Linked DNA regions of Anolis sagrei. The protein of the gene in region 3 interacts with the protein of the main gene of each other region in a pairwise test. Links are inferred from orthologs where the notes say so. Each region holds a gene or a part of one and is shown on either strand. Other genes may lie near its edges. The genes, in order: TGOLN2, ZBTB43, AP1M1 and RUNDC3A.

Region 1 (7,555 bases), on a different chromosome or scaffold from region 3:
CTCGTTGCTATGGAGACGACCTTGGCCCTCTCAGAGCTGGAGAAGGGAGAAAGTAGGTAAACAGCGGCCTCAATGTCACCCGGGCAGTGCCAGGTATGTGTGTATATATATATGTATATAGCCATCCCCTGCCATGCATTGCTGTGGCCCAGTCTGGTGATTTGGAAAATAAAGTACCGTAATGAGAAAGTGTTGGTTTCTAATATATGTAATTTCTTTATGCTTGTGGGTATACAGTATTTGATTATATTTTCGTGCCCTGGTGAAGGGAGTTGGACTGGATCGCCTTTTCTATTGGTCATAGCGGTTCTGTGTGGGATGTTTGCTCCCAATTCTATCATTCCTGGGGTTCAGAATGCTTTTTGATTTTGGTAGCAATTTGTCCAGTGGTTCTTGAGTTATGTTAATCCCACAGACGAACATTACAGTTTTATTTATATAGACTAGGCATTCCCTGCCATGCGTTGCTGTGGCCCAGTCTGGTGATCTGGAAAATAAAGTAATGAGAAAGTGTTGGTTTCTAATATATGTAATGTCTTGATACTTGTGAGTAAACAGTATTTCTTGTTGTTTCTTTGTTAGTGTTGATGTAGAGATTGTCTGGTTTGCCTACTAGGGAATATACAACATATAACTGTCCTTCTTCAGGGGTCTCTTTCAAATCTATGATACTATTATCTGTCATATATGTATATATGTGTGTGTGTGAATCATATCTATCTATATTTATGGCTGGATGGCTCTTTGTCAGGAGGGCTTTGATTATGTTTTCTTGCTCTGGTGAAAGGAGTTGGACTGGATGGCCTTAAGTATTTTCTGTTGGTCATGGGGGTTCTGTGTGGGAAGTTTGCCCCAATTCTATCATTCGTGGGGTTCAGAATGCTCTTTGATCGTAGGTGAACTATAAATCCCAGTAACTACAACTCCCAAATGGAAACGTCAATTTCCCCCAAACTCCATCTGTGTTCATATTTGGGCATTTGGAATATTTGTGCTAAGTTTGGCCCAGATACATCATTGTTTGAGTCCACAGTGCTCTGTGGTAGTAGGTAAACTACAACTCGTATCTATTTGTGTTTATATGTGTGTTTCCATATATATGTGTGTGTGGGTGTATAGATGTTTGTATATATATATGTGTGTGTGTGCATATATGTGTATATGTATATGTGTGTGTGCATATATTTGTGTATTTGTTTATATGTGTACATGCATATTGTGTATATGTGTGTTCTTGTCTATATGAATATTTGTGTATATGTATATGTGCATATATTTGTGTATTTGTTTGTTTATATGTGTACATGCATATTTTGTATATGTGTGTGCGCATATATTAGTGTATTTGTTTGTTTATATGTGTACATGCATAATGTGTATATGTGAGTTCTTGTCTATATGAATATTTCTGTGTTTATGTATATATGTATATCTGTGTGCATGTGTATATGTATGTGCATATATTTGTGTATTTGTTTGTTTATATGTGGACATGCATATTTTGTATATGTGTGTTCTTGTCTATATGAATATGTGTGTGTTTATGTGTATATGTATATGCATGTATATCTGTATGTGTGCATGTGTATATACACACACACACACATGTGTATGAGTGCATGTGTATATGTATATGAGTGTATTTGTATATGTATATATGGTGTATTTTTTGGATTTTTAAGTCTGTTCCGCTGGGTTTGTGTGTGTTTTAGGGATGATGGACACTTGTTGGACTGTTACGTGTATTGTGTCCAAATTTCGTGTCAATTCCCCCAGTGGTTTTTGAGTTATGTTAATCCCACAAACGAACATTAAATTTTTATTTATATAGATAGATAACACACACACACACACTACCGTAGTATATTAATAAATATGAGATGAACTTTCATGGTGGACTCATCAGCCACAGAAATGAACAGAAGCCTTTGATGATGCTGCTCTATCTCCATTGCCTACTGTTAAGAGCCTAGGTGTCATTTTGAATTTGCAGCTGACGATGGAGGCTCAGGTTGCTGCTGCCAGCAAACAGGCCTTTTTCCATCTACGACAAGCGAGGCAACTGGCACCTTACCTGTCGGATGAGGCTCTGGCAACAGTCATCCATGCCACGGTCACATCTAGGCTAGACTATTGTAACGCCTTGTATGTTGGCTTTCCTATTTCTACGACCCGAAAGCTCCGTATTGTTCAGAATGCTGCAGCCAGGTTACTCACAAAAACGCCCATGAAATGCCATATAACACCAGTGCTGCGGCATCTACACTGGCTCCCAATTGAGCATCGTGGTTTGTATAAGATGCTGGTCCTGACCTTTAAAACTTTATTTGGCCAGGATCCATTGTATCTTAGAGACCGCCTCTCCTTCTACCATCATCGGAGGTCGCCACGACCATCCCAACGCGATCTGCTCAATATACCGGGTCCTAGAGAAGTGCGCTTGGAAAGCACCAGACGCAGATGGGCCTTCTCTATTTCTGCCCCTGCCTTGTGGAATTCCTTGCCGCCCTATTTCCGAGCCATGCGCGACTTGGGGCGTTTTGTCCTGGCGCTTAAGACCTGGCTTTTTACTGGAGCATTTGACTCATGTTAATTTTAATATTTGTATGTATGCGTTTTATCCTGTGTAATTCCTGCAGTGTAAATCGCCTGGAGCATCTCGGATGGAGGGCGATTAATAAGTAATTAGAGATGAGATGAGAAGCGAAAGGGGAAGGGCAGGGAAACATGGGGGAAACATGGCCCGAGAGCCACCTCCTCGCGCTCTGACCTGGGCCCTCCTTTGCGGCCTCCTCCGCCTCTGCTTCCTCCGCGCCGCCGCCTGTTCCTCCTCCTCCTCCTGCTGCTGCTTCTCCTCCGCCGGGCTCCAGCGGCGCCGAGGCACCGAAGGCGGCCACTTGGAAGAGGAGGAAGAGCAGAAGGAGGCACCGCCGCGCGCTCGCCATGCCGGCCAAGCCCAGACTCTTTTCCGCTTCCCGCAACACCTCCACACGGGAAAAGGAAGTCCGTTCACGTCACATCCGCCGAGGGAGACTCCCCGAGCTCTGGTCTCCACTCTCGCGAGAATAGGAGGCGCCCTGTCACAGAAAGGGAGGGAAGGAGAAGGGGGCGGGGCTTCGTCGATGAGGCGCCCTAGAGCTACGAATGAACTAGAGTGCTGTAACATGCTTTGATTCTTCACTTGAGCATCTCATCAGGTTCCTTCATGGCTATATATATAGAGAGAGAGGGTGCATCTTCTAAAGGCCAATGAAATTCATATTAAAATTCTATAAAGCCACAAGGATAATAGCACATTTTATTTATTTATTTATTTACTTTGCTTCTATACCGCTGTTCTCAGCCCAAGGGTGACTCACAGCGGTGTACAACATGGGAAGAACAAAATACAAAACACAGTATAAAAACAATTCTCAAACCATTATGCAAAAAACATACAAAAAGCATTATACAAAACATTGTCATTACTACGAAACCATTCAGCATCGTCTCATTGTCTAAACCACAATCCAATATCATTTTCCGTTATTCCATTCCTATAGTCATTACCAATCATTGCACTTCTTGTTCGAACGTCTTCTTGAACAACCAGGTTTTTAATTTTCTGTGGAATATCAACAGGGAAGGAGCCTGTCTGATGTCCATGGGAAGGGTGTTCCACAGCCGAGGGACCACCACCGAGAAGGCCCTATCTCTCGTCCCCGCCAGCCATGCTTGTGAAGCAGGCGGGATCGAGAGCAGGGCCTCCCTGGAAGATCTCAAAGTCCTGGTGGGCTCATAGGTCGAGATGCGGTCGGATAGGTATCTTGGGCCAGAACTGTTTAAGGCTTTATAGGCCAACGCCAGCACCTTGAATTGGGCCCGGTAGCAAATTGGCAGCCAGTGGAGCTGGTACAACAAGGGGGTTTTATGCTCCCTACGTCCCGCCCCTGTTAGTAACATGGCTGCCGCACGTTGGACTAATTGAAGCTTCCGGGCCGTCTTCAAAGGCACCTCCACGTAGAGAGCATTGCAGTAGTCTAAACGGGATGTAACCAGAGTGTGGACTACTGTGGCCAAGTCAGACTTCCCAAGGTACGGGCGCAGCTGGCGCACGAGCCTTAGCTGTGCAAAGGCTCCCCTGGTCACCGCCGAGACCTGGGGCTCCAGGCTCAGCGACGAATCCATTTTCTTCACAACTGTCTAGGATACTCTGCTTGAAGTAATATATTAGAGTTGAAAACCCGTTGCTAGGTGAAGTGGCCCTCTGCGGTGTCACTGGTTTAGCTGTTGCTAGGTGAAGTGGCTTTCTCCGATGCCACTGGCCTGGTTGTTGCTAGGTGGCCTTCTGCGGTGTCACTGGTCTGGCTGTCGCTAGGTGAAGTAGCCCTCTGCAGTGTCATTTATCTGGCTGTTACTAGGTGGCCTTCTGCGGTGTCACTGGTCTGGCTGTCGCTAGGTGAAGTAGCCCTCTGCAGTGTCATTTATCTGGCTGTTACTAGGTGGCCTTCTGCGGTGTCACTGGTCTGGCTGTTGCTAGGTGAAGTGGCCCTTTGTGGTGGTGCTAGCCTTGCTGTTGCTAGATGAAGTGGTCCTCTGGTGTCACTGGCCTGTCTGTCGCTAGGTGAAGTGGCCCTCTGCAGTGCCATTGATCTGGCTGTTGCTCGGTGAAGTGGCCCTCTGGGGTACCACTAGCCTTGCTGTTGCTAGGTGAAGTGGCCCTCTGCATTGTCACTGGCCTGGTATCACTAGGTGAAGTGGCCCTCTGCAGTGTCATTGATCTGGCTGTTGATAGGTGGCCCTCTGCGAGGTCACTGGTCTGGCTGTTGCTAGGTGAAGTGGCCTGGCTGTCGCTAGGTGAAATGGCTCTCTGCAGTGTCATTGATCTGGCTGTTGCTAGGTGAAGTGGCCCTCGGGGGTACCACTGGCCTTGCTGTTGCTAGGTGAAGTGTCCATCTGCAGTGTCACTGGCCTGGCTATTACTAGGTGAATTGGCCTTCTGCGATGTCACTGACCTTGCTATCGGTAGGTGAAGTGGCCCTCAGCAATGTCACTTGGAAAGAATTGTGAGGCATACAAAGTGAATGGGGGAAAGAGCCATAAAGAGGGACACATTGCCATGGAGATCTTGTGAGGTAGGCCCTCTCAAGAGCTGGAGAAGGGAGAAAGAGAAGGAAATAAAAAAAGGGGGGGGGCGAAGGGGTGAGAAAGAAGGCATGACAGTAGTGTAACAATACCTTAGTAATGCCAGGTATATACGGTAACATGCACACATCACTACAAAAACACACCTTGCAATGTACTGAGAAGGTATAATAAGAGACAAGAATGTCGCAATTTCATAAACAGATTATTGACAGGTGGTGATACACATATTACCAGACCTACTACAGGTGTCTGTGGCCAGGCACATCAGCCCTAGTGGAAGATTGTTGTGCGTGAAGGAGGAGAAATACAACGCCTCGCATGTCTGTGAATTGGGCGGCCTGCAAAACTCTCTTGTTCCAGACAGCCATGTAAGGTCTGCCAAGTTTGTAAAAGTCAGCTCCTTAAGTCTCTAGAAATAGACTCAGCTAAACAATTATCACATAGCACCATCTTGTGGTCTCCGTCATATTTTTTTTCTTCTGAGATCATGAAAATCGTGGATGAAATCCTTCTTACAAATTAATTGATGGCTTGGAAATTGTCGGTTTTTGTGATCTCATTGAGGTGGATTCCCCTCGTTCAATCTGTTCTATCCCCAGCCTTGCCCAAAGAAGAGGAATAGCTTAGTTCGCTACCATTGTTATTGTTATGTGTCTCTAAATAATTTCCAATTGATGATGACCTTAAAACCAACATATCATTGGGTTTTCTTGGCAAGATTGGTTCAGTATGAGGTTGCTGTCACCTTCTTCTACTGGACTGTTTTGACATTCTATGGCAGTGTTTCTCAACCTGGGGGTCAGGACCCGTGGGGTTGCAAGAGGGTTTCGGGGGGGGGGGGGGGGGTCGCCAAAGACCAACAGAAAACATATTGATAGTCTGAAGATCTCTCCACCTGTCCTCTTCCTTTTTGGAAACAGAGGTCAAATCCGCACTCCTCTGCTGTGATTGGCCGACCTCTCATCCAAGGAGAAGGTTGTTTTTGAGACTCCAAGCAGGGAGAGGAGAGTAGGTGTGCTCAGCACGTGGCAGTGTGTTGTGTATGTGTGGCCGAGGGAGAGCGTGCAGGGCTGGAGGGAGGCTCACGCCAGCAAGTCTCTTCAAGCTATGGGGGTTCTGCATGGGAAGTTTGGCCCAATTCTATCGTTGGTGGGGTTCAGAATGCTCTTTGATTGTAGGTGAACTATAAATCCCAGCAACTACAACTCCCAAATGTCAAGGTAAATTTTCCCCAAGCTCCATCAGTGTTCACATTTGGGCATATTGAGTATTTGTGCCAAGTTTTGTCCAGATTAATCATTGTTTGAGTCTACTGTGCTCTCTGAATGTAGGTGGACTACAACTCCAAAACTCAAGGCCAACACTCACCAAACCCTTCAAATTTTTTCTGTTGGTCATGGGAGTTCTGTGTGCCAAGTTTGGTTCAATTCCATTGCTGGTGAAGTTCAGAATGCTCTTTGATTGTAGGCGAACTATAAATCCCAGCAATTACAACTCTAAAATGCCGTCTATTCTCCCCAGTTACCACCAGTGTTCACTTTTGGACATATTGAGTATTCGTGCCAAGTTTGGTCCAGATCTATTTTCTGCTGGTCGTGGGAGTTTTGTGTGCCAAGTTTGGTTCAATTCTATCGCTGGTGGAGTTCAGAATGCTCTTTGATTGTAGGTTAATTATGAATCCCAGCAACTACAACTCCCAAATGACAAAATCAATCCCCCCCCCCCCCCAAACCATCAGTGTTCAGATTTGGGCGTATCAGGTATTAATGCCAAATTTGGTCCAATTAATGAAAATACATCCTGCACATCAGATATTTACATTACGATTCGTGCTGCCATGGATTCTTGTTTGACCAGTACTTGTGGATAATACTTCATGCTATTTGCCTTTGGACCTTGGAAACTCTGCCTTTGCAGTTGAGACTCTGTTTTGGCTATTGAACTTTTGCAACCTTATTTCTACATTTATGATTTTGTTTTTCTTCAATAAACTACAAAACCTACAGCCTTGGTGTGTGGTGTTGTTCTGAGCAAGGTGAATCTATCCTGAGTTGCGACAACATCATCATCTCTGAATAAGCATTTATTTATTTTATAAATGTCACAACAATGTTTTATTTTCGACTTCTGGGGCTGCCAGAAGTCTCAGCCGGCAAGACCAATAGTCAGGGATTTACAGAAAAGTGAAACTGTAAAGGGGAGTAGCAACGACAGTTTGCAAATGCTGCATGAATGGCACTGGAAAGCATTTCAACAATCCCAGCATATCTGCGGCTGTCTTGCTCTTGCTCCCTGTTGATTTAGGTATCATGCAGAGGAATTTCAACTATCCCTCTCTATATGTCTTTTTTTTTTTTTTAATGATTTTTATTAAGTTTTTCACAATCCACACAAGGAAAGAGGGGGAACAAAAAACAAGAAGATAGAT
Region 2 (7,196 bases), on a different chromosome or scaffold from region 3:
CATTGGCACGGGTAAAGCTTGTCAGCTGTAGAAAACCCAGAGAGGGCATTTTCCTCTTTGATCCCAGATGTCGCATCTACGCTTTCCCCATAACCAGCCACATCCTGTCTCTGGAGGCTTAAAGTCCCATCAGCCCTCTCCGCAGAAAACTCTTCCATGGAGGAGCCATAGAAATCCACTTGCTCGTCGTAACTGCCTTCGTTGGCTCGCTCACCATACTCCCTTTCCACCTTTTTCTCGCCGACGCGGAGATCTTCGGCAGCGGAGGTCTGGACACTGTGGTCAGCCTGGACAGTGTTTACAGACTCAGATACCTGCTGTTCATCGTAAGGGCCATGCACTTCCACAGCTTCACAGTCCTGGACAAACCTCTCCGTTTTGACGTGGATCCACCGCTTGTGAGACATGATGCTCGGCTTGCTGTAAAGTGGCCTCGTGTATTGATAATCCGCACTATCGCTCACTCCTTCTTCCCCATCCTGGCTGGTCATTCCTGTGCTCAGCCCATCATGCTCCGTTGAAGAATTGCTCGGAAGATACTCATGTTCTGTTAGTTGAGATAACAGCTCATCCTTGGAACTTTCCTCCTCGTTCTCCCCATCCCGCAGTTCCTGCACTTTGTGAAAGTCAGCCTGCTCAAAGCTTTCCACGAGGCCGTTGTAGTTACTGCTGCTTGGAGACTGATGGTCGCTGGTACGGTTCAGCTTCTGGCAAAGCACTGACGGGTTCCCTTCCAAAACCTCCGTGCATTTGTCGACGACGTGCCACATCTGAAGGAAGCTCGCTGCTGTGAGGTAGCTGACAATCTCCGGAGCGGGCATGACCAGCCGTCCCGTGTAGGTCGACAGGAGGATGTTCTCAAACACTCTGGGGTTCATGACGTCAGGCAGAACGATCCTCCGGCTATTTTTCAGGAGCACTTGGTCGCAGAAGTAAGGGGAGCTGGCTGCCAGGACAGCTTTGTGGGCTCTGAAGAGGTGGCCCTGGACAACAATCGAAACATCGCACAGCTGCCCTTGTTGGCGTTGTTGGTTGAGCTTCTGCAAGATGGTGCTGGAGAAGTCGGGGAACTCCACTCTGAAAGAATTGGTCCCAGGCTCCATTTCATCAGCAGACTGCAAGGAAAGACAATATTTAGTTCACGAATAGGAAAGCAGGGCTGTGATTTGTTTTCTCCCTCTCATGACCAGCCAGACTTCCCCTTAGGAAAACGTTATCAGTTCTCAGGAATGTAAGAGGAGTCTGCTGTTGCCCTCATGCTCTGCCTTTGGGCTGTTCATCGCTGGTCATGATGAAAATAGTGGAACACGTCCAACATATTTCTTTTTATGTTCCAATTTGTAATTCATAGGAAAGTCATGATAGAAGAGGATTTATTTCTTCTCTTTCACAGGGCAAACAACCAATCTATTCTCTGCTCAAGACAACAACAACAATAACAACATGGTCACCCTGCTCCTTACAAGGTCTGTTGCAGTTCAGAAGAGCAACTGATAGAGCACACAAACAATTTCAGATTATGGTACATTTTGGATTCCCAGATAAGGATTGCTGAGTCTGTAGGAGAATTTATACCATATAATTAATACTGTTTGATACTTTAGCTGCCATATTATTATTATGGCTGGATGGCCAACTGTCAGGGGTACTTTGATTGGGTTTTTCCTGCATGGCAGGGGGTTGGACTAGATGGCCCATGTGGTCTCTACTAACTCTATTGTTGTTATTATTATTATTATGGCTGGATGGCCATTTGTCAGGGGTGCTTTGATGGTGCTTTTCCTGCATGGCAGGGGGTCGGACTACATAGTCCATGTGGTCTCTTCCAACTCTATTATCAGTATTACTATGGCTGGGTGGTCATCTGTCAGGGATGCTTTTATGGTGTTTTTCCTGCATGACAGGAGATTAGACTATATGGCCCACGTGTTCTCTTCCAACTCTATTATTATTATTATTGCTGAATGGTCATTATCAGTATTACTATGGCTGCATGGTATCTGTCAGGGGTGCTTTGATTGTGCCACCTCTATCATCATCATCATGATCATGGCTGGATGGCCATCTGTCAGGAGTGCTTTGATTGTGCCACCTCTATTATTATTATTATTATTATTATCATCATAATTATGGCCAGATGGCCATCTGTCAGGAATGCTTTGATTGTGCCACCTCTATCATCATCATCATGGCTGGATGGCCATCTGTCAGGAGTGCTTTGATTGTGCCACCTCTATTATTATTATTATCATCATAATTATGGCCAGATGGTCATCTGTCAGGAGTGCTTTGATTGTGCCACCTCTATCATCATCATCATCATCATAATTATGGCCAGATGGCCATCCGTCAGGGACTTCTTTGATTGTTCCTTTCCTGCAGGACAAGAGGTTGGACTAGATGGCCCATGTAGTCTCTTCCAACTATGTCATCACCATCATTATTATTATGGCTGGATGGCCATCTGTCAGGGGTGCTTTGATTGTGTCTTTCCTGCAGGGCAGGGGGTTGGACTAGATGGTTCATGTGGTTTTTTCCAACTCTATTATCATTATCATTATGGCTGGATGGCCATCTGTCAGGGTTACTTTGATTGTGCCTTTCCTGCATAGCAGGGGGTTGGACTAGATGGCCCATGTGGTCTCTTCCAACTCTAATATCATCATCATTATGGCTGGATGGCCATCTGTCAGGGGTGCTTTGATGGTGCCTTTCCTACATAGCAGGGGGGTGGACTAGGTGGCCCATGTGGTCTTTTCCGAGTTTATTATGCTGTGATTCTATGAAACCGCGTCAATCCTACAGTGCAGATGCCCCCAGGGCAAGCCCCACCTCTTTCCCCTCTCCCCCTCCTTCCCTATCCTCAGCCCAAGCCAAGCCTCACCTCTCTGAAAGGCAAGGCCCTCGGCGAAGCGCTCCTGCCTCACATGGCGGGCGAGCCCCTCAGGCTTCGCCTCCACCAGCCCACCACTCAGGCCCGGAAGTCCTAGTCTCTTCCTTCTTCCGGTTTTCTAGCCCCGCCACATCCGCTTCCGCCTTTAGAGTTAACCACAGACTTGCATGATAGATCTATACAAGCAGAGGTGCACTTCCTGGTTGACGCCCCCTTTTGGTTGTCTGTGGTATTGCCACACTGTAGAATGAATGAATGAGTGCAATTGGATGCCATTGTTTTCAATAGCCGGGGCTCAAAAGCTATGGAATCCTGGAAGGATGGTGTACTGGGTTGTTGTAGGGTTTTTCGGGCTGTATGGCCATGGTCTAGAGGCATTCTCTCCTGACGTTTCGCCTGCATCTATGGCAAGCATCCTCAGAGGTAGTGAGGCCTGTTGGAACTAGGAAAAAGGGTTTATATATCTGTGGAATGACCAGGGTGAGACAAAGGACTCTTGTCTGCTGGAGCTAGGTGTGAATGTTTCAACTGACCACCTTGATTAGCATACAATGGCCTGACTGTGCCTGGAGCAAACTTTTGTTGAGAGGTAATTAGATGTCCCAGCCTGCTTCCTCTCTGTTGTTGTGCTGTTGCAATTTTAGAGTGTACTTTTGCATAGAGTACTGGCCAGAGCAAAGGCAGAGGGGAGCAGAAGACATTTCCATCTTGTCTTTACTAATAATATAATATAGTATATTGTATACACTTATAATATTTATAATATTATAATGTAATACAATATAATACTAGCAATAATAATACAATATTATAATTATATATTTACATTACATGTAATATTACTAATAATATTACAATATAATGGTATAGTGCAATATAGTAATATCTAATACTGATATTGTACTATACTAATTATATACTATATTGTATGGAATTATATATTGTAAGCCGCTCTGAGTCCCCTTCGGGGTGAGAAGGGCGGCATATAAATGCCGTAAATAAATAAGTAAATAACAGAGTATGTAAGAAGCCAATGAAATCCACAAATGTGTGAACAATTTCAACAGAAAGGAGGAAACCATGAGAATGAACAAAATCTGACTACCAATATTTTAAAAACTCTAAAATCAAGACAGTAAATAAAGAGCAACACACAGAAAAATGGGGAATTCCAGACAGGAAACAATCAGGACCAGCTAACACCCCCCAACAAAGGCTTCCCCCCAGTCAGCAACCAGGCAGGCTTTGAAGCTGCAAGGCCATTCAATGCTAATCAAGCTGGCCAATGGCAACATTCACACCAGGACTGTGGCGCAGCATTGACAGACTGTCTGCGCAGGGTTCCACACTTCGCATTTTAAAAACACAACCATTCAATGCTAAGGCTTCCCGCCAAAATGGAATTGTAGAGGAGAGTCTACTAAACAAGCCAGTACCTGCCGTAGAGGAGAGTCTACTGAACAAGCCAGTACCTGCCGAATACCAGCACTGACATCTGTTGAGAAGTTACGAAGGTGGAGGCATTATTTTTCATTCAACCCTCGTATCTCTACCCTACACTTGAAACCTATGTTACGTGATGAACACAGTAGCTTTCCGTTTCTTAAATGGGTGGCTCAGTAGTATTTAAAGAATGTGATGAAGTGGTAGGGATGCCAAAGGGTTGTGCTTGGAGAGAGTTCAAAAGCAGCCTTTGATCTGTATTTGGCTTTGGTGAGACCCTGCACAGAACTGAGAGTTTGGGTTCACCTGTGCGTGAGGAGCGCTTCCTCCAGATGCAAGGCTTCTCCTTCCTCCCCAGGCAAAGCGAGGCTTCTGTACGGCTTGTTCGTGACACGTCCTGCAAGTGAACACACCGCTGGAAATGAGGCCTCTGTGAAGTCAGGCAAGCATTCTTAGGATTTTTGATCAATCACAGCCGCACAAGAACTGTCTTGCTGACTCAGGCCACGCAGCGGACAACCGAGATGGATCTGGGAGGTGAATGAACACGATGGCAAAATGGGTGGCCGAGATAATGACAGCGGGTGCATCTACACTGTAGAATTCATGCTGTTTTGACCCTACTTGAACTGCCATGGCTCGGTGCTATGGAATCCTGGCAGTTGTTGTTTTACAAGGTTCGTTCGCCTTCTCTGCCAAAGGATGCTGGTGCCACACCAAACCACAACAGCCATTATTCCATGGCAGTCCAAGGGGTGTCAAACTGCATTGATCCTACAGTGTAGAGCAGGTCTGGGCAATCTTTGGCCCTCCAAGTGTTTTGGACTTAAACTCCCAAGGCACTCGCAGAACTTTCCTCCAGCACCACAGTTCAAAAGCATCTCTCTTCCTTCGCTCAGCCTTCCCTATGGTCCAGCTCTCACATCCATAGGTGACTATGGGGAATACCATTGCTTTAACTATGCAGATCTTTGTTGCCAGTCTGATGTCTCTGCTCTTCACTATTTTATCGAGATTGGACATTGGTTTCCTCCCAAGAAGTAAGCGTCTCCTGATTTCCTGGCTGCAGTCTGCATCTGCAGTCATCTTTTCACCTAGAAATACAAAGTCTGTCACAGCCTCCACATTTTCTCCCACTATTTCCCATTTGTCAATCATTCTTGTTGCCATAATCTTGGTTCTTTTGATGTTTAGCTGCAGCCCAGCTTTTGCACTTTTTTCTTTCACCTTGATTAGAAGGCTCCATCTGTAGGTGAACTAAAAATCCCAGCAACTACAACTCTCAAATGTCAAGTTCTATTTTCCCCAAACTCCACCAATGTTCTTATGTTTGGGCATGTTGAGTATTTGTGCCAAGTTTGGTCCAGATCCATCATTGTTTGAGTCCACAGGGCTCTCTGGATGTAGGTGAACTACAACTCCAAAACTAAAGATAAAAAACAAAAGAATTGGAAAGACTGGACGACGAGATGGGACAATGTCTTCATTAGGAGACGTAAATGATGTATGCTTTTAGTATTCTTACTATGGTTATATATTATGTGTTAATGTTTTTAAGTGTGCTATGGTGTTTTTGGGCATCAAATCATTGCCACTGTAAACCGCCATGAGTCACCTAAGGGCTGAGAAGGGCGGTATACAAATATCTATATAAATAAAAATGTAATGTTCGTTTGTGGTATTCACAGAACTCAAAAACCACTGGGGGAATTGACACCAAATTTGGACACAAGACACCTATCAGGCCAATGTATGTCCTTCACTAAAAAAAAAAAAAATGATTTTGTCATTTGGGAGTTGTAGTTGCTGGGATTTATAGTTCACCTACAATCAAAGAACATTCTGAACTCCACCAATGATGGAATTGAACCAATCTTGGGACACAGAACTCCCATGATAAACAGAAAACACTGCAAGAGTTTGGTGGGCATTGACGTTGAGTTTGGGAGTTGTAGTTCACCTACATCCAGATATCACTGTGGACTCAAACAATGATGGATCTGCACAAATACTCAATATGCCCAAAAGTGAACACTGGTGGAGTTTGGAGAAAAAAAATCTTGACATTTGGGAGTTGTAGTTGCTGGGATTTATAGTTCACCTACAATCAAAGAGCATTCTGAACCCCACCCATGACAGAATTGGGCCAAACCTTCTACGCAGAAGCCCCATGTGGGCCACAGCAATGCGTGGCAGGGGACGGGTAGTAGTAAATAATAATAAAATAATAATAAAGGTCGATGCCTACCAAACCCAGTATTTTCTGTTGGTCATGGGAGTTCTGTGTGCCAAGTTTGGTTCAATTCCATTGTTGGTGGAGTTCAGAATGCTCTTCGATTGTAGGCAAACTATAAATCCCAACCACTACAACTCCCAAATGACAAAATCACACCCCCCCCAACCCTACCAGTATTCAAATTTGGGTGCATTGGGTATTTGGTCCGGTGAATGAAAAAGCATCCTGCGTATCAGATATTTACACGACGATTCATAACAGTAGCGAAATTACAGTTATGACGTAGCAACGAAAATAATGTTAAGGTTGGGGGTCACCACAACATGAGGAACTGTATTTTGGGGTTGCAATATTAGGAAGGTTGGGAAACATTGATCTAGGATAACATAGATAGATAGATAGATAGATAGATAGATAGATAGATAGATAGATAGCGATAGCCGTGTTGTAGCAAAATACAGCAAAATCTGAAATTCCAACAAGTAGCAATGCTTTACCGGGAACTAACTCCAAAGCATCAAAAGCTTGAGAAAGTTTAAACTCAACATTATGGAGTCTAAACAGCAGGTGGCACTCCAATCTAAGGCAGTGAAGGCCCTTCGGCCTGACCCGTCTGTCACCACA
Region 3 (7,003 bases):
AAAAGGCCCTATCTCTCGTTCCCGCAAGCCGCACTTGTGAAGCAGGCGGGATGGAGAGAAGGGCTTCTCCTGAAGATCTTAGGGTCCTGGTGGGCTGATAGGCCGAGATACGTTCGGATAGGTATGTAGGGCCAGAACCGTTTAGGGCTTTAAAGGTCAAAGCCAGCACTTTGAATTGGGCTCGGTAGCTAATCGGTAGCCAGTGGAGCTCTTTGATTGTAGGTGAACTGTAAATCCCAACAACTACAACTCCCAAATGTGAAGGTCAATTTCCCCAGACTCCACCGGTGTTCACATTTGGGCATATTGAGTATTCATGCCAAGTTTGGTCCAGATCCATCATTGCATGAATCCACAGCACTCTTCTGGATGTAGGTGAACTGCAACTCCCAAACTCAAGGTCAATGCCCACCAAACCCTTCCAGGGTTTTCTGTTGGTCATGGGAGTTCTGTGTGCCAGGTTCAGTTTAAACCCATCGCTGGTGGAGTTCAGAATGCTCTTTGATTACAGGTGAACTATAAATCCCAGCAACTACAACTCCCAAATTACAAAATCAATCCTCCCCAACCCCACTAGCATTCACATTTGGGCATATTGGGTATTTGTGCTCAATTTACTCCAGTTAATGAAAATCCATCCTCATATCGGATATTTACATTATGATTTATGACAGTAGTAAAATGACAAGTATCAAGTAGCAACGAAAACAATATTATGGTTTGCGGTCACCACAACATAAGGAACTGCATTAAGGGGTCACGGCATTAGCAAGGTTGAGAACCACTGCCACAGATGCAGGTGAAACGTCAGGAGAAAAATTGCCTCCAGAACATGGTCATATAGCCCCCAAACGCCTACAACAACGCAGTTGTGAGATGTGTTCCACACTGGGAATGCAGTTGAGACCCCGTGGCCACTTGCTGGGCCCATCCTCGACCGGTTCATCCCACTGGATGCAGGGGCTGTCGATAGGCTCATAGCTGCAGCTAGACCGACCACTTGCTCCCTCGATCCGTGTCCCTCTTGGTTGGTGAAATCCTGCTTGGAGGGATCACGTGACCCTCTGTTGAAGATTATAAACAGCTCCCTTGAGCAAGGAGTCTTTCCAGAGGGTTTAAAAGAGGCGGTGGTCTCTCCTTTGCTGAAGAAACCAGATTTAGATCCCTCGGTTCCCTCCAGTTACCGCCCAGTTTCAAATCTCTTGTTCCTGGGCAAGGTGATTGAGAGGGCAGCAGCGGAGCAGTTGCAGCAATTCCTTGACGACACAGCCGGACTAGAACCCTTCCAGTCGGCTTCCGTGCGGGGCATGGGACAGAGACTGTGCTGGTCTCCATCATGGATCACCTTCGATGCCAGCTTGACCAGGGCGGGTCAGCACTGCTTGTGTTATTGGATCTCACAGCAGCATTTGACACAGTCGACCACAATCTCTTGACCCACCGCCTTGATGTTGCTGGAGTCAGGGGGGCAGCTTTAAACTGGCTGTCCTCCTTTCTTCACAACCGTGGACAGCGAGTGGAGAGGGGAGGCCTGGTCTCTGAGAGGTCCCCTCTATCTTGTGGGGTTCCTCAGGGGGCCATTCTCTCCCCTCTGTTGTTTAACATCTATATGCGACCACTTGCTCAGCTGGTTCGAGGTTTTGGGCTTGAGTGTTATCAGTATGCCGATGACACTCAGCTGGTGCTGAAGATGGAAGGCCGACCGGACTCTGTACCCGATTGTTTCCATCAGTGCCTCGAGGCTGTTACTGGATGGCTGCGTGCCAGCAGGTTGAGGGTGAATCCAGCAAAGACGGAGATCCTATGGCTGGGTGGACCGGGCAGTGGGGACATCCATCTGCCCACCTTGGATGGCGAGGCGTTACGCCCGTCATCATTGGTAAAGAGTCTGGGAGTCCTTTTGGACCCTCTGCTGACAATGGAGGCCCAGGTCTCCGCCGTGAGCAGAACCGCCTTCTTTCACCTGCGGCAGGCTAGACGGCTGGCCCCCTACCTGTCCAGGGACGACCTAGCTACGGTGATCCAGGCCACGGTCATCTCAAGACTGGACTACTGTAACACCCTCTACATTGGCCTCCCTCTGTTGGTGATTCAGAAGCTCAAGTTGGTACAAAATGCAGCTGCTCGGCTTCTTGCGGGAATTCTGATGAGATGCCACATAACTCCAATCTTACTGCAGCTGCATTGGTTACCAATTGAGCACCGGATCACTTTCAAAGTGATGGTACTCACCTCTAAGGCCTTGCATAGTCTGGGGCCAATGTACCTGAGGGACCGCCTCACCCCCTACCAACCCCAGAGATCCCTCCGTTCTGAGGACCAAGATCTATTGGAAGCCCCCAGTGTCAAGACCTTGCGTCTAACAGCAACCAGATGCAGAGCCTTTACAGCAGTTACCCCATCACTCTGGAATACTCTGCCACCTGAAGTTCGTGCCCTGCGGGACTTACCAGCTTTCCGCAGAGCATGTAAGACATACCTGTTTCAACAGGCTTTTAATGTTTGATACTGTTGTTTTTAAATTGTTTTAAATTGCTTTTAAACTTTGTTAGATTTTAGCTATTCTTGTAAGCCGCTCCGAGCCCCAGGGGATTGGCGGCATATAAGTTTAAATAATAAATAAAATAAAATAAATAATCAGCAGCTGTGTAGCAAAGCGCAAGGGCAGATGCCTTCACTGTATCTGGTTGTGATTCCCAGGTTGTGCCAGTCAGCTTTCGTAGAGCGAATTAAGGCAACGGAAGGGGGAAAGGCCCCAACTAAAACCCGTTTCTCCTCATCTGCCATAACAGTACAGCCAGCCTAGAAGGACAGGTTACAAGGCAGGTCCAAAGCCAAGTACACCTAATAACAATCACAAAAGAAGAAGAAGAATGGTGAAGAGAGGAAACCTCACCTTTCCCTTCAGGTCCAGCACGTAGACGGCGCTGGCGGACATCTTGGATCCGCGGCAGGCGCCGGAGCTCCTTTTCCGCTTCCGGCCAGACAAGCAACGGGCGGACCACACCGTGACGTCAGCCAGCGCACGCACCAATCGCAAGTTTCCCCACTCTAGAGCGGACAAGCCTCATTCCTTATTGACGTCATCCAGCGCACGGACCAATTGCAAGTTTCTCTAGCCAATGGGCGGGACGTTAGCGCCGACGCAGCCAATCACAAGTTTCCCCACTCTTCCTGCTCGAGGAGGAGTGCGCCGGCGAACGGCCAAGCCAATGGGAGTCCGGCGCGTTCTGACGGACAGCGACGTGGGCCTATCGCGAGCCGCGGCGGCTCCTCGCAGGCCTAGGAAGACATGGCGAAGACTTACGACTACCTCTTCAAGCTGCTGCTGATCGGCGACTCCGGCGTGGGCAAGACGTGCGCGCTCTTCCGCTTCAGCGAGGACGCCTTCAACGCCACGTTCATTTCCACCATCGGTGCGTCGTTGCCAGGCAACCGGTGGGATTGAGGGAGGGGAGGGAGGGGTTGTTATGGCGACGCCCCGGACCCACCTCCCGGTCGCCATGGCAACGAACGCCCACCTTCTAGCTGGAGAGCAGTAGGGCTCCTCTTCCGGTTGAGGGGAGAATGGGCTCCAAGTAGGCCTCATGCTGGACCATCTCCCAGGGCATCCACTCTGCGCTTGGTTAGGGCAAGCTGGATGCAACAGGCTTCTTACTGGTTTAGTGTATTCTGAAAGTGATGCATTGGAAGCATTCTGTCTTTGATGTAGGTTTTTTTGTCAGTTGCTTGAGGGTTTCCCTGGATAACTGAGAATATATATATATATATATATATATATATATGCAGGGAGGGGGGAAGTATTTAGTCAGGTACCAATTGTACAAGTTCTCCCACTTAAAAAGATGAGAGAGGCCTGTATTTTTTTTCGTCCTGTCAGGAGCAACCTGAGAAACTGCAAGTCGCTTCTGGTGTGAGAGAATTGGCCGGCTGCAAAGGCGTTGCTCAGGGGATGCCTGGATGATTTTTTGATGTTTTATTTATTTACTTTATTTGTATACCACACTCTCTCAGCCCGTAGGCGACTCAGTGCGGTTTACAACCAGGTCAATATACAAAGTGCACAACACTAGCATTTAAAAACAGTAACTAAGGCAACTACATCAAGGCCGAACAGGGTATAGGGTTACAGCCTGTGTTAGACGGGGTTACACTCCCCCTGAAGACGCAGGTTCGCAGCTTGGGTGTGATCCTGGACTCTTCGCTAAGCTTGGAACCCCAAGTTTCGGCGGTGTCCAGGGGAGCATTTGCACAACTCAAACTTGTGCGCCAGTTGCGCCCGTACCTTGGGAAGTCTGACTTGGCCACGGTAGTCCACGCTCTGGTTACATCCCGGATTGATTACTGCAACGCGCTCTACGTGGGGTTGCCCTTGAAGACTGCCTGGAAGCTTCAGATGGTCCAGCGCTCGGCGGCCAGGTTGCTAACGGGAGCGGCACTCAGGGAGCATACCACTCCTCTGCTGAACCAGCTCCACTGGCTGCCAATCCGCTACCGGGCACAATTCAAGGTGCTGGCTTTAGCCTATAAAGCCCTAAACGGTTCTGGCCCTGCTTACCTCTCCGAACGCATCTCCACCTATGAACCGACCAGAACATTAAGATCGTCTGGGGAGGCCCTGCTCTCGATCCCGCCTGCGTCACAGGTGCGCTTGGCGGGGACGAGAGACAGGGCCTTCTCAGTGGTGGCCCCTACCGGCAGACATCAGACAGGCACCTTCGCTGCTGACGTTTCGGAGAATGGTTAAGACCTGGCTTTATGAACAAGCGTTTGGTTAAGCAGTGCAACCAATCATAGGAAGACGGTAAATGGAACATAGGAATGGCACAAGGATTATGAGAACGGATCTGATTTCAACTGAGGCGTTATGTTATGTCTGTTTTGTTGATCTGTCTTGTTGATTGTTAACTGTTGTGGATTGATGCTGTTGATCCTGTTTGTTCCATTGTTATGTTTTAATTGCACTGACACTGTTTGATAATTGTACCATGTAAACCGCATTGAGTCGCCTGTTAAGGGCTGAAAAATGCGGTATAGAAATAAAGCAAATAAATAAATAAATAATATAACAGCACATCAATACATCAATATAACATCAATACATCCATAATAACTAACTCATCACGTCTCATCAGTAAAGTCATAATCCGATTTCCTCGTCCATTATTCCAAGTTCCAAGATCAATCAGTTAATTGCACTGCTTAATTAAACGCCTGTTCAAAGAGCCAGGTCTTCACTCTTCTTCTGAACGTCAGCAGGGAGGGGGCCGACCTAATGTCTGCGGGAAGGGCGTTCCACAGCCGAGGGGCCACCACTGAGAAGGCCCTGTCTCTCGTCCCCGCCAGCCGTGCCTGTGAGGCTGGCGGGATCGAGAGCAGGGCCTCCCCGGACGATCTTAATGTCCTAACTGGTTCATAGGGGGTGATGCGTTCGGACAGATAGGTCGGGCCAGAACCGTTTAGGGCTTTAAAGGCTAAAGCCAGCACTTTGAATTGTGCCCGGAATTGTGTGGAGTTGACGCAACAGAGGAGTGGTGTGCTCCCTGAGTGCCACTCCTGTTAACAACCTGGCTGTTTTATCATCCTTGTGGGAGGCTTCTCTCATGTCCCCGCATGAATAGCTGGAGCTAACAGAGGGAGCTCATCCGTGCTCTCCCCGGATTCGAACCTGCGACCTGTTGGCCTTCAGTCCTGCCGGCACAGGGGTATAACCCACTGCACCACCGGGGGCCTGTAATTGACATCATAGGTAGACCTATGAGATACAACATGAGAAAACACATCCAGAAAATCACATTGTCTGATTTTTAATGAATTTATTTGCAAATTATGGTGGAAAATAAGTATTTGGTCACCTACAAACAATGGAGCCCCCGATGGCGCAGTGGGTTATTATTATTATTATTATTATTATTATTATTATTATTATGCAGAGACCGGATGGTCTTTAGCGGTCTTTTTCAACTATTACTATTACTATTATTATTATTATTATTGTTTAGATGCTGGATGACACGTGGGTCTCTTCCATTATTGTTGTTGTTATTATTATTATTATTATTATTATTATTATTATTATTATTATTATGTAGAGGCTGGATGGCCTTTGGGGGTCTCTTCCAACTATTACTATTATTATTATTCAGATGCTGGAAGACACGGGGGTCTCTTCCATTATTATTATTATTGTTATTATAGGAGCCCCCGGTGGCGCAGTGGGTTAAACCCCTGTGCCGGCAGGACTGAAGACCGACAGGTCGCAAGTTCGAATCCGGGGAGAGGCAGATGAGCTCCCTCTATCAGCTCCAGCTCCTCATGCGGGGACATGAGAGAAGCCTCCCACAAGGATGAAAAAAAATCAAATCATCCAGGCGTCCCCTGGGCAATGTCCTTGCAGATGGCCAATTCTCTCACACCAGAAGCGACTTGCAGTTTCTCAGGTTGCTCCTGACACGACAAAAACAAAACCTACAAACATCAAGATTTCTGGGTCTCATAGACAGGCTCCTCTGCCCTCCTGTAGTAATGGCACCTATTTGAACTTGTTATCAGTCTAAAAGACACCTGTCCACAACCTGAAGCAGTCACACTCCAGACTCCACTCTGGTGAAGGCCAAAGAGCTGTCGAAGGACACCAGAAACAAAATTGTCGCCCTGCACCAGACTGGGAAGACTGAAACTGCAATAGGCAAGCGGCTTGATGTGAAGACATCAACCGTAGGAAATGGAAGAGATACAAGACTGCTGATAATCTCCCTCAATCTGGGGCTCCACACAAGATCTCACCCTGTGAGATCCCCCAGATGGTAACCCCGCTTCTCTTTTGCAGGCATTGACTTCAAGATCAGGACAATTGACCTCGATGGGAAAAAGATCAAACTCCAGATCTGGTACACATCCGATTTCATAGGATTCTAAGGTTGGGTGGGGACCCCCAAAGGCCACCCAGTCCAACCTTTTCTTTCCACCCGGCAGGGAAAGCACAACCCAACCCCTCCTGGCA
Region 4 (7,748 bases), on a different chromosome or scaffold from region 3:
CTACACCAGGGGTGTCAAACTCATTTTCATGGAGGACCACATCCGCCTTATGGTTGCCTTCAAAGAGCCATTGAATCCATACACACACACACACACACATAACATTGTGGTCAGTACTCTAATTTTATATATATAACATAGTGGTCAGTACTCTAATTTTTACCCAGTTTGGGTTCTCAGGTGTTACTGAACAACAACTCTCATCACTTTTGATTATATGCCATGAGGACTGGGTATAATGGGACTCGCAACCCAACAGCACATGTGGCTCTGAGGCTGAGAAAAGGCTAAAGGGCATTTTAAAGTCAGGCACCATATCCACAAGTTTTGTATAATCTAGTCCATTATTCTGACTACACAGTACAAATGGAAGCTTTCCGGATGCTATTGTATTACAGCTCCCATCATGATGAGGAATACAGGAGTTAGAATCCAGCCTCTGGAGGAGGGGCACAGAAAAGGATACAGAGGGTGGATTCGGCCCATGGGCCTTGCGTATCACACATGTGGATTACACCAAGCCTTCTCTGAAACATGGATCACAACAGAGCATCTCATGTTGACTCCAGTTACCTTTGGCCTGAGTCTACCCACTCTTCCACCTTTCAGCTTTGAGCTTGCTCCCTTATCTCACCTTGATGCTCCCTTCTATTTTTTTTCCAAATGGCATACTATGTCAATGCCCTTCCAGATTGTTTTCTCTAACCTGACAGGTATCTTAAGACAGGAGCTGTATCTCAGAGTCCACCTTTACCATGCCAGGCCATGGTTGACCATTTCCTTAAACTGAGAACACCCATTCAGCCAGATCCATGAGATCCAAACATACATAAATAGCCTTCCATATTATGCTGATGTCCTTCCAGATTGTTTCTCTAATCTTACGAGAGGAGCTCTATCTCAGAGGTTCCACCTTTGCCATTTCACGCCAAGGTTGACCATTTCCTTGAAGTGGGGACACCCATCCAGCCTGATCCATGAGATCCAAACATACATAAATACATCTATAGCCTTCCATATTATACTAACGTCCTTCCGGATTGTTTCTCTAATCTTACGAGAGGAGCCGTATCTCAGAGGGTCACCTTTGCCATTCCAAGCCATGGTTGACCATTTCCTTGTACTGAGGACACCCAGTTCAGCCAGATCCACAACCAGATCCACACATACATTAATACACACATATATATAGCCTTCCATGCTATGCCAATGTCCTTCCAGAATTGTTCCTCTAATCTTAAGAGAGGAGCTGTATCTCAGAAGGTCCACCTTTGCCATTCCAAGCCATGGTTGGCCATTTCCTTGAACTGGGGCCATCCATTCAGCCAGATCCATGACTAGATCCAAACATACATAAATACACACACACACACACACACACAGACACCACATGGCCTTCCATACTATGCTGATGTCATTCCAGAATTATTCCTCTAATCTTAAGAGAGGAACTGTATCTCAGAAGGTCCACCTTCGCCATGCCAAGCCATGGTTGACCATTTCCTTAAACCGGAGGCACACCATTCAGACAGATCCATCATTAGATCAACACACACACACACACACACATATACGTGGCCTTCCATACTATACCAATGTCCTTCTGGATTGTTTCTCTAAGCTTAAGAGAGGAGCTGTATCTCTGAAGGTTCACCTTCACTGTGGTTGACCATTTCCTTGAACTGGGGACACCAGTTCTATTATCCAAACATACATAAATAAATACATACATATAATATAGATATATAGATATATATCTAGCCTTCCATACTATGCCAATGTCCTTCCGGATTGTTTCTCTAATCTTAAGAGAGGAACTGTATCTCAGAAGGTCCACCTTTGCCACGCCAAGGCATGGTTGACCATTTCCTTAAACCGGGGGCACCCAGTTCAGACAGATCCACGACCAGATCCACACATATATATATATATATGGCCTGCCATACTATGCCAGTGTTCTTCCATAATTGTTCCTCTAATCTTAAGAGAGGAGCTGTATCTCAGAGGGTTCACCTTCACCATGCCATGCCATTGTTGACCATTTTCTTGAACTGGGGATGCCCAGTTCAGCCAGATCCATGACCAGATCCAAACATACAAACACACACACACACACATGGCCTTCCATACTATGCTGATGTCCTTCTGGATAGTTTCTCTGAACTTAAGAAAGGAGTTGTATCTCAGAGGGTCCACCTTCACCGTGGTTAACCATTTCCTTGAACTGGGAACAGCCACATCTATGATCCATACATACATACACACATACATGTATGTATATATATCTAGCCTTCCATACTATGCCGATGTCCTTCCACAATTGTTCCTCTAATCTTAAGAGAGGAGTTGTATCTCAGAGGGTCCACCTTCACCGTGGTTAACCATTTCCTTGAACCGGGGACACCCAGTTCAGCCAGATCTTTTATCTAAACATACATAAATATATAAATACATACATATAATATAGATATATATTTAGCCTTCCATACTATACTGATGTCCTTCCAGATTTGTTCCTCTAATCTTAAGAGAGGAGCTGTATCTCAGAGGGTCCACCTTCACCATTCCAAGCCATGGTTGACCATTCATATGCAGAACATCTCAGCCAGATCCATGCATACATAACTACACATAACTATATATATGTATGTATGTAGTTATGTATGTGCATGGATCTGGCTGAGATGTTCTGGGTGTGAATGGTCAACCATGGCTTGAAATGGTTAAGGTGGACCCTCTGAGATACAGCTCCTCTCAGATAGATAGATAGATAGATAGATAGGATATAGATATATATACAAAGACTCCCAGCTGACCCCTTACCTGCAGACGGTGATGAGGTTCTTCCTCTCCACCGCAATGTTCCGGGAGGAGACCTTCTTGGAGGAGAGCCCCAGCGCCATGGTGGACTGGAGGCAGCTGGGTTCCATCCAGGGGAGGGATCTTCTGGATCGGCCGGGCGCCGCTACCACCCGCTTGCCTTCCTCTTCCTCCTCCTCCCCCTCCCCTCCCCCTCCCCCTCTTCCCTCCTCCTCCTCCTCCTCCCCACCACCCCCTCCCCTCCCCCGGCCCCTCCTTCCCGCCCTCCCCCAGAAGACGAGGCGTTGGGTGAGCCTCCCCCAAGATCGGATGGCTCGGAAGTATCGGCCTCCTCTCTCTCGTCCTAAAATTAGCTCCAGCCCCCTTTCTTGGAGGGATCAAGGGAGGCGGTGGGGAGGGAAGGGGGTGCTGGGAAAGCCGCCAAAGAGGAGATCGGGGTCGGAGGAGGACCAGGAAAGGGAGGGAGGGCGGGGGGAGAGAGGGAGGAGGGCAGGCCGGGAGGAGCTCTCCTTGGTGCTGATTGAAAAGCCGGCCCTCCTCCTTCCTCGAAGAGGAAGCAGCCCCCTCCCTTTGGAGGCCGGTGACGTCATGGCTGGTGATGGGAAGGAGTTGGGAAAGGGAGGGAGGGGGAGACAGGAAGGGATCGAGGGAGAGGAAAGGGATCAGACTACAACTCCCATGATTCTTGATTGTGGGGGGATGTATGGGAGTTATAATCCAATCCATCAGAAGGCAGCTTTCAATAAAGGATGTCCAATGCCTTGAAACTTTGACTGTGTGGATCATAATAAATTGTGGCAAGTTCTTGGTGGGATGGGCGTACCAAGCCACCTTGTCTCTCTTCTGAGGAATCTGTACAAGGACCAAGTCGCAACAGTCAGAACTGACCATAGAACAACAGACTGGTTCAAGATTGGGAAAGGCGTACGGCAAGGCTGCATCCTCTCACCCAACCTTTTAAACTTGTATGCAGAACACATCGTGCGATGTGCGGGGCTGGATGAATGCAAAGCTGGGGTGAAAATGGCTGGAAGAAACATTAACAACCTCAGATATGCAGATGACGCCACTCTGATGGTCGAAAGTGAGGAGGAGCTGAGGAGCCTTCTAATCAAGGTGAAAGAAGAAAGCACAAAAGCTGGGTTGCAGCTAAACATAAAAAAACCAAGATTATGGCAACAAGAAGGATTGACAACTGGGAAATAGAGGGAGAAAACGTGGAGGCCGTGACAGACTTTGTATTTCTGGGCGCAAAGATTACTGCAGATGCAGACTGTGGCCAGGAAATCAGAAGACGCTTACTTCTTGGGAGGAGAGCAATGTCCAATCTCGATAAAATAGTAAAGAGTAGAGACATCACACTGGCAACAAACATCCGCATAGTCAAAGCCATGGTATTCCCTGTAGTAACCTACGGATGTGAGAGCTGGACCTTAGGGAAGGCTGAGCGAAGGAAGATCGATGCTTTTGAGCTGTGGTGTTGGAGGAAAGTTCTGAGAGTGCCTTCGTCTGCGAGAAGATCCAACCAGTCCATCCTCCAGGAAATAACACCCAACTGCTCACTGGAGGGAAGGATACTAGAGACAAAGCTGAAGTACTTTGGCCACATCGTGAGGAGACAGCAAAGCCTAGAGAAGACAATTATGCTGGGGAAAGTGGAAGGCAAAAGGAAGAGGGGCCAACCAAGGGCAAGATGGATGGATGGCATCATTGAAGTGACTGCTGACCTTGAAGGAGCTGTGGGTGGTGACGGCCAACAGGGAGCTCTGGCATGGGCTGGTCCATGAGGTCACGAAGAGTCGGAGACGACTAAACGAATGAACAACAACAATGCCTTGAAAAAGAGCCATCCCTGTTATCCCTCCCTGCCCATTCTTTTCAGGCATTCATACAGTTGGACCTTCGAATCCACGGATTCTGTATCCACGGATCCAACCACCCAGAGATTGAAAATATTATCCTCCACCACCCAAACCCCCCCCCCCCAAAAAAACCACACCTTGATTTTGCCATTTGATGTAAAAAAAAGCATTTTCTTCTACCCTTCCACACAGCTGAATAAAATCCCACATTATCCTCTCTGAACTGGAATATATTTTATTTATTTAAAACGTTGATATTCCTCCCTGCTCACCCCAAAGGGGACTCAGGGAAGAGCACAGCATATTTATATATTTATTTACAGTATTTATATTCCACCCTTCTCACCCCGCAGAGGGCTCAGGGCGGATTACAATGTGCATATACATGGCAAACATTCAGTGCCATTTATTTATCGTGTTAGGGGCAACCAGACCATTGTATTACATTTCTAACAGAACAAAACAACCAAACAAATTTAAAAAACCACAAAGTTTGCAAGCTTGGGAGTTGATTAAATGTCCTTTGACCATTATCTGGCCACTTGGAGTGCCTCTGGTGTTGCTGCAAGAAGGTCCTCCATGGTGCATGTGGCGGGGTTCAGGTTGCATTGCAGCAGATGGTCAGTGGTTTGCTCTTCTCCACACTCACATGTCGAGGATTCCACTTTGTATCCCCATTTCTTAAGATTGACTCTGCATCTTGTGGTGCCAGAGCGCAGTCTGTTCAGCACCTTCCAAGTCGCCCAGTTTTCTGTGTGCCCAGGGGGGAGTCTCTCATTTGGTATCAGCCATTGATTGAGGTTCTGGGTTTTGGACTTTTGGACTCTCGCTTGCTGAGGTGTTCCAGCGAGTGTCTCTGTAGATCCTAGAAAACTATTTCTAGATTTAAGTCGTTGACATGCTGGCTGATACCCAAACAAGGGATGAGCTGGAGATGTCTCTGCCTTGGTCCTTTCACTATTAGCTGCTACTTCCCGGCAGATGTCAGGTGGTGCAATACCAACTAAGTAGTGTAATTTCTCCAGTGGTGTAGGGCGCAGATACCCCGTGATAATGCGGCATGTCTCATTAAGAGCCATAGACACACAACATATATAGACAGACACTCAGAGGCTACTTAACATTCCAGCTACTGGCCACCAGGTGAGCTGTCACTTCACCGTCCATTTGTGACACTGATGAAGTACTTCCTCGTTCTCTGCATACTTCCTGGAGATTTTTATGGCTTCGTAAATCAGTTAAATTAGCCTCCCCACATAAATGGTACCTAAATTTCCTACTTGACAGATGCAACTGTCTTTCGGGCTGCAAAGGTCGACAACAAGCTACACAATTTTGGTCGGGAGCTCACTCCGACCCGGGCTGGCTTCGAACTCATGACCTTTCTGTCAGTATTGATCTTAATACAACTGACTCCCAGCCAGCTGTACCACATATATGGCCAACGTTCAATGCTGTGACATGGATTCATATACGGATACATAAATATGAAAAACTTTTATTTCAATATTAAAATACACAATTTAAAACCATCCTGGTCATTAGTGTCAAATCTAATTGGCCTGGTAATCTTTCCTACTGCTGCTTTATTGCCCTGTCCTGAACCTTGGTCCCACAGCCAAGTTTTTACCATCCTTCTGAAGGACAGGAGGGAGGGGGCCGACCTGATCTCACCAGGAAGGGAGCTTCATAGCCAGGGGGCCATCACCGAGAAGGCCCTGTCTCTCAACCCTACCAATTGCGCCTGTGACAATAATGAAAAGGAAAGCAGGGCCTCCCCGGAGGATCTTAATCTCCGCAGTGTGGCAGTGTGGACTCAGATAATCCTGTTCAAAGCAGATATTGTGGGATTTTCTACCTTGATATTCTGGGTTATATGGCTGTATGGGGAGCCCCGGGTGGCACACCAGGTTAAACCACAGAGCTGCTGAACTTGCTGACTGAAAAGTCCATAGTTTGAAAGGTTGGCAATTCGAATCCGGGAAGTGGAGTGAGCTCCCACTGTTAGGCCCAGCTTCTGCCAACCTAGCAGTTCAAAAACATGCAAATGTGAGTAGATCAATAGGTACCACTCCTGTGGAAAGGTAACAGCATTCCATACAGTCATACCAGCCACATGACCTTGGAGTTGTCTACAGACAACACTAGCTCTTCGGCTTAGAAATGGAGATGAGCACCAACCCCCAGAATTGGACATGACTGGACTTAATGTCAGGAGAAACCTTTACCTTTACTTATGGCTGTGTGAAAGGGCCCTATGTAACATGATTTCTATTCCTGATTATAAATACAATTTCCTAATTGGTTCTATCTAAGGTTCTGTTTTATTATTCCGATGGAGGCCACTAGGGGGCACTAAAGAGAGAAAGATAGTCCATTTTACAGGGGGAAGGAGTTGAAGGAGGAAAACCATTTCCCCTTGTTTTCAGTGGTGATTCCCCCTCCCTGCTTTCCATTTCATAAACCTTTCCACAACAGGGACATAGGTTGAAGGAATAACAGGAAAATAGGAGGAAGTAGTTTTCCTTCTTCAACCCACCCTCCATGTCCATAAAATGGACTATCCTTTTCTCTCTAGCACCCCCTAGTGGCCTCCGGCCAGATAATGACACAGTATCCCATTTCCTTCTGCCATGATGTAACACACTTTTTGTTCCTGAATTATAAATGTCATTTCTTAATTGCTTCTATCATAAAAACATGGTAAAAACATGGATGCACCGTATGCTAAAACAGTGTTTCAGAGAGGAAAGATTATAGACAAAAGTGGATAACATTATGTAACACATTTTTCCTGGGTTATAAATGTCATTTCCTAATTGTTTCTATCATAAAAACATGGGGGAAGTTTATTAAACTGCAAAAAAATCTGCAGCACATTTTGCAATAGTTTTTCAATAAATATCTCCTAAAATGTGGATCAAGTTCTTGGTGGTATGAGGATACAAAGCCACCTTGTCTGTCTCCTGAGGAATCTGTATAATGACCAAGTAGCAATAGTAAGAACTGACCATGGAAAAACAGACTGCGATAGGCGTATGGCAGGGTTGTATATTCTCACCCAAC

The links.
Region 1: the proteins of AP1M1 (region 3) and TGOLN2 interact in a two-hybrid assay, tested with the Homo sapiens proteins (2 studies listed by BioGRID). The link is inferred for Anolis sagrei from reciprocal best matches to the Homo sapiens genes AP1M1 and TGOLN2.
Region 2: the proteins of AP1M1 (region 3) and ZBTB43 interact in binary tests that used the Homo sapiens proteins (3 or more experiments, as listed by UniProt). The two-hybrid records come from large-scale screens. The link is inferred for Anolis sagrei from reciprocal best matches to the Homo sapiens genes AP1M1 and ZBTB43.
Region 4: the proteins of AP1M1 (region 3) and RUNDC3A interact in binary tests that used the Homo sapiens proteins (3 or more experiments, as listed by UniProt). The two-hybrid records come from large-scale screens. The link is inferred for Anolis sagrei from reciprocal best matches to the Homo sapiens genes AP1M1 and RUNDC3A.

The regions. Positions count from the first base shown.
Region 1 is NC_090027.1:16,335,487-16,343,041, reverse strand, and holds the start of TGOLN2 (trans-Golgi network integral membrane protein 2), read right to left. Parts: upstream 3,018-7,555; 5' UTR 2,946-3,017; coding exon 2,771-2,945; intron 1-2,770. UniProt on the Homo sapiens protein: May be involved in regulating membrane traffic to and from trans-Golgi network.
Region 2 is NC_090031.1:7,991,898-7,999,093, reverse strand, and holds the start of ZBTB43 (zinc finger and BTB domain-containing protein 43), read right to left. Parts: upstream 3,008-7,196; 5' UTR 2,885-3,007; intron 1,116-2,884; 5' UTR 1,104-1,115; coding exon 1-1,103. UniProt on the Homo sapiens protein: May be involved in transcriptional regulation.
Region 3 is NC_090034.1:59,407,815-59,414,817, forward strand, and holds the start of AP1M1 (AP-1 complex subunit mu-1), read right to left. Parts: upstream 3,001-7,003; 5' UTR 2,939-3,000; coding exon 2,897-2,938; intron 1-2,896. Other genes in the region: RAB8A (ras-related protein Rab-8A), read left to right, coding at 3,293-3,416, 6,830-6,890. UniProt on the Homo sapiens protein: Subunit of clathrin-associated adaptor protein complex 1 that plays a role in protein sorting in the trans-Golgi network (TGN) and endosomes.
Region 4 is NC_090026.1:44,452,620-44,460,367, forward strand, and holds the start of RUNDC3A (RUN domain-containing protein 3A), read right to left. Parts: upstream 3,017-7,748; 5' UTR 2,931-3,016; coding exon 2,824-2,930; intron 1-2,823. UniProt on the Homo sapiens protein: May act as an effector of RAP2A in neuronal cells.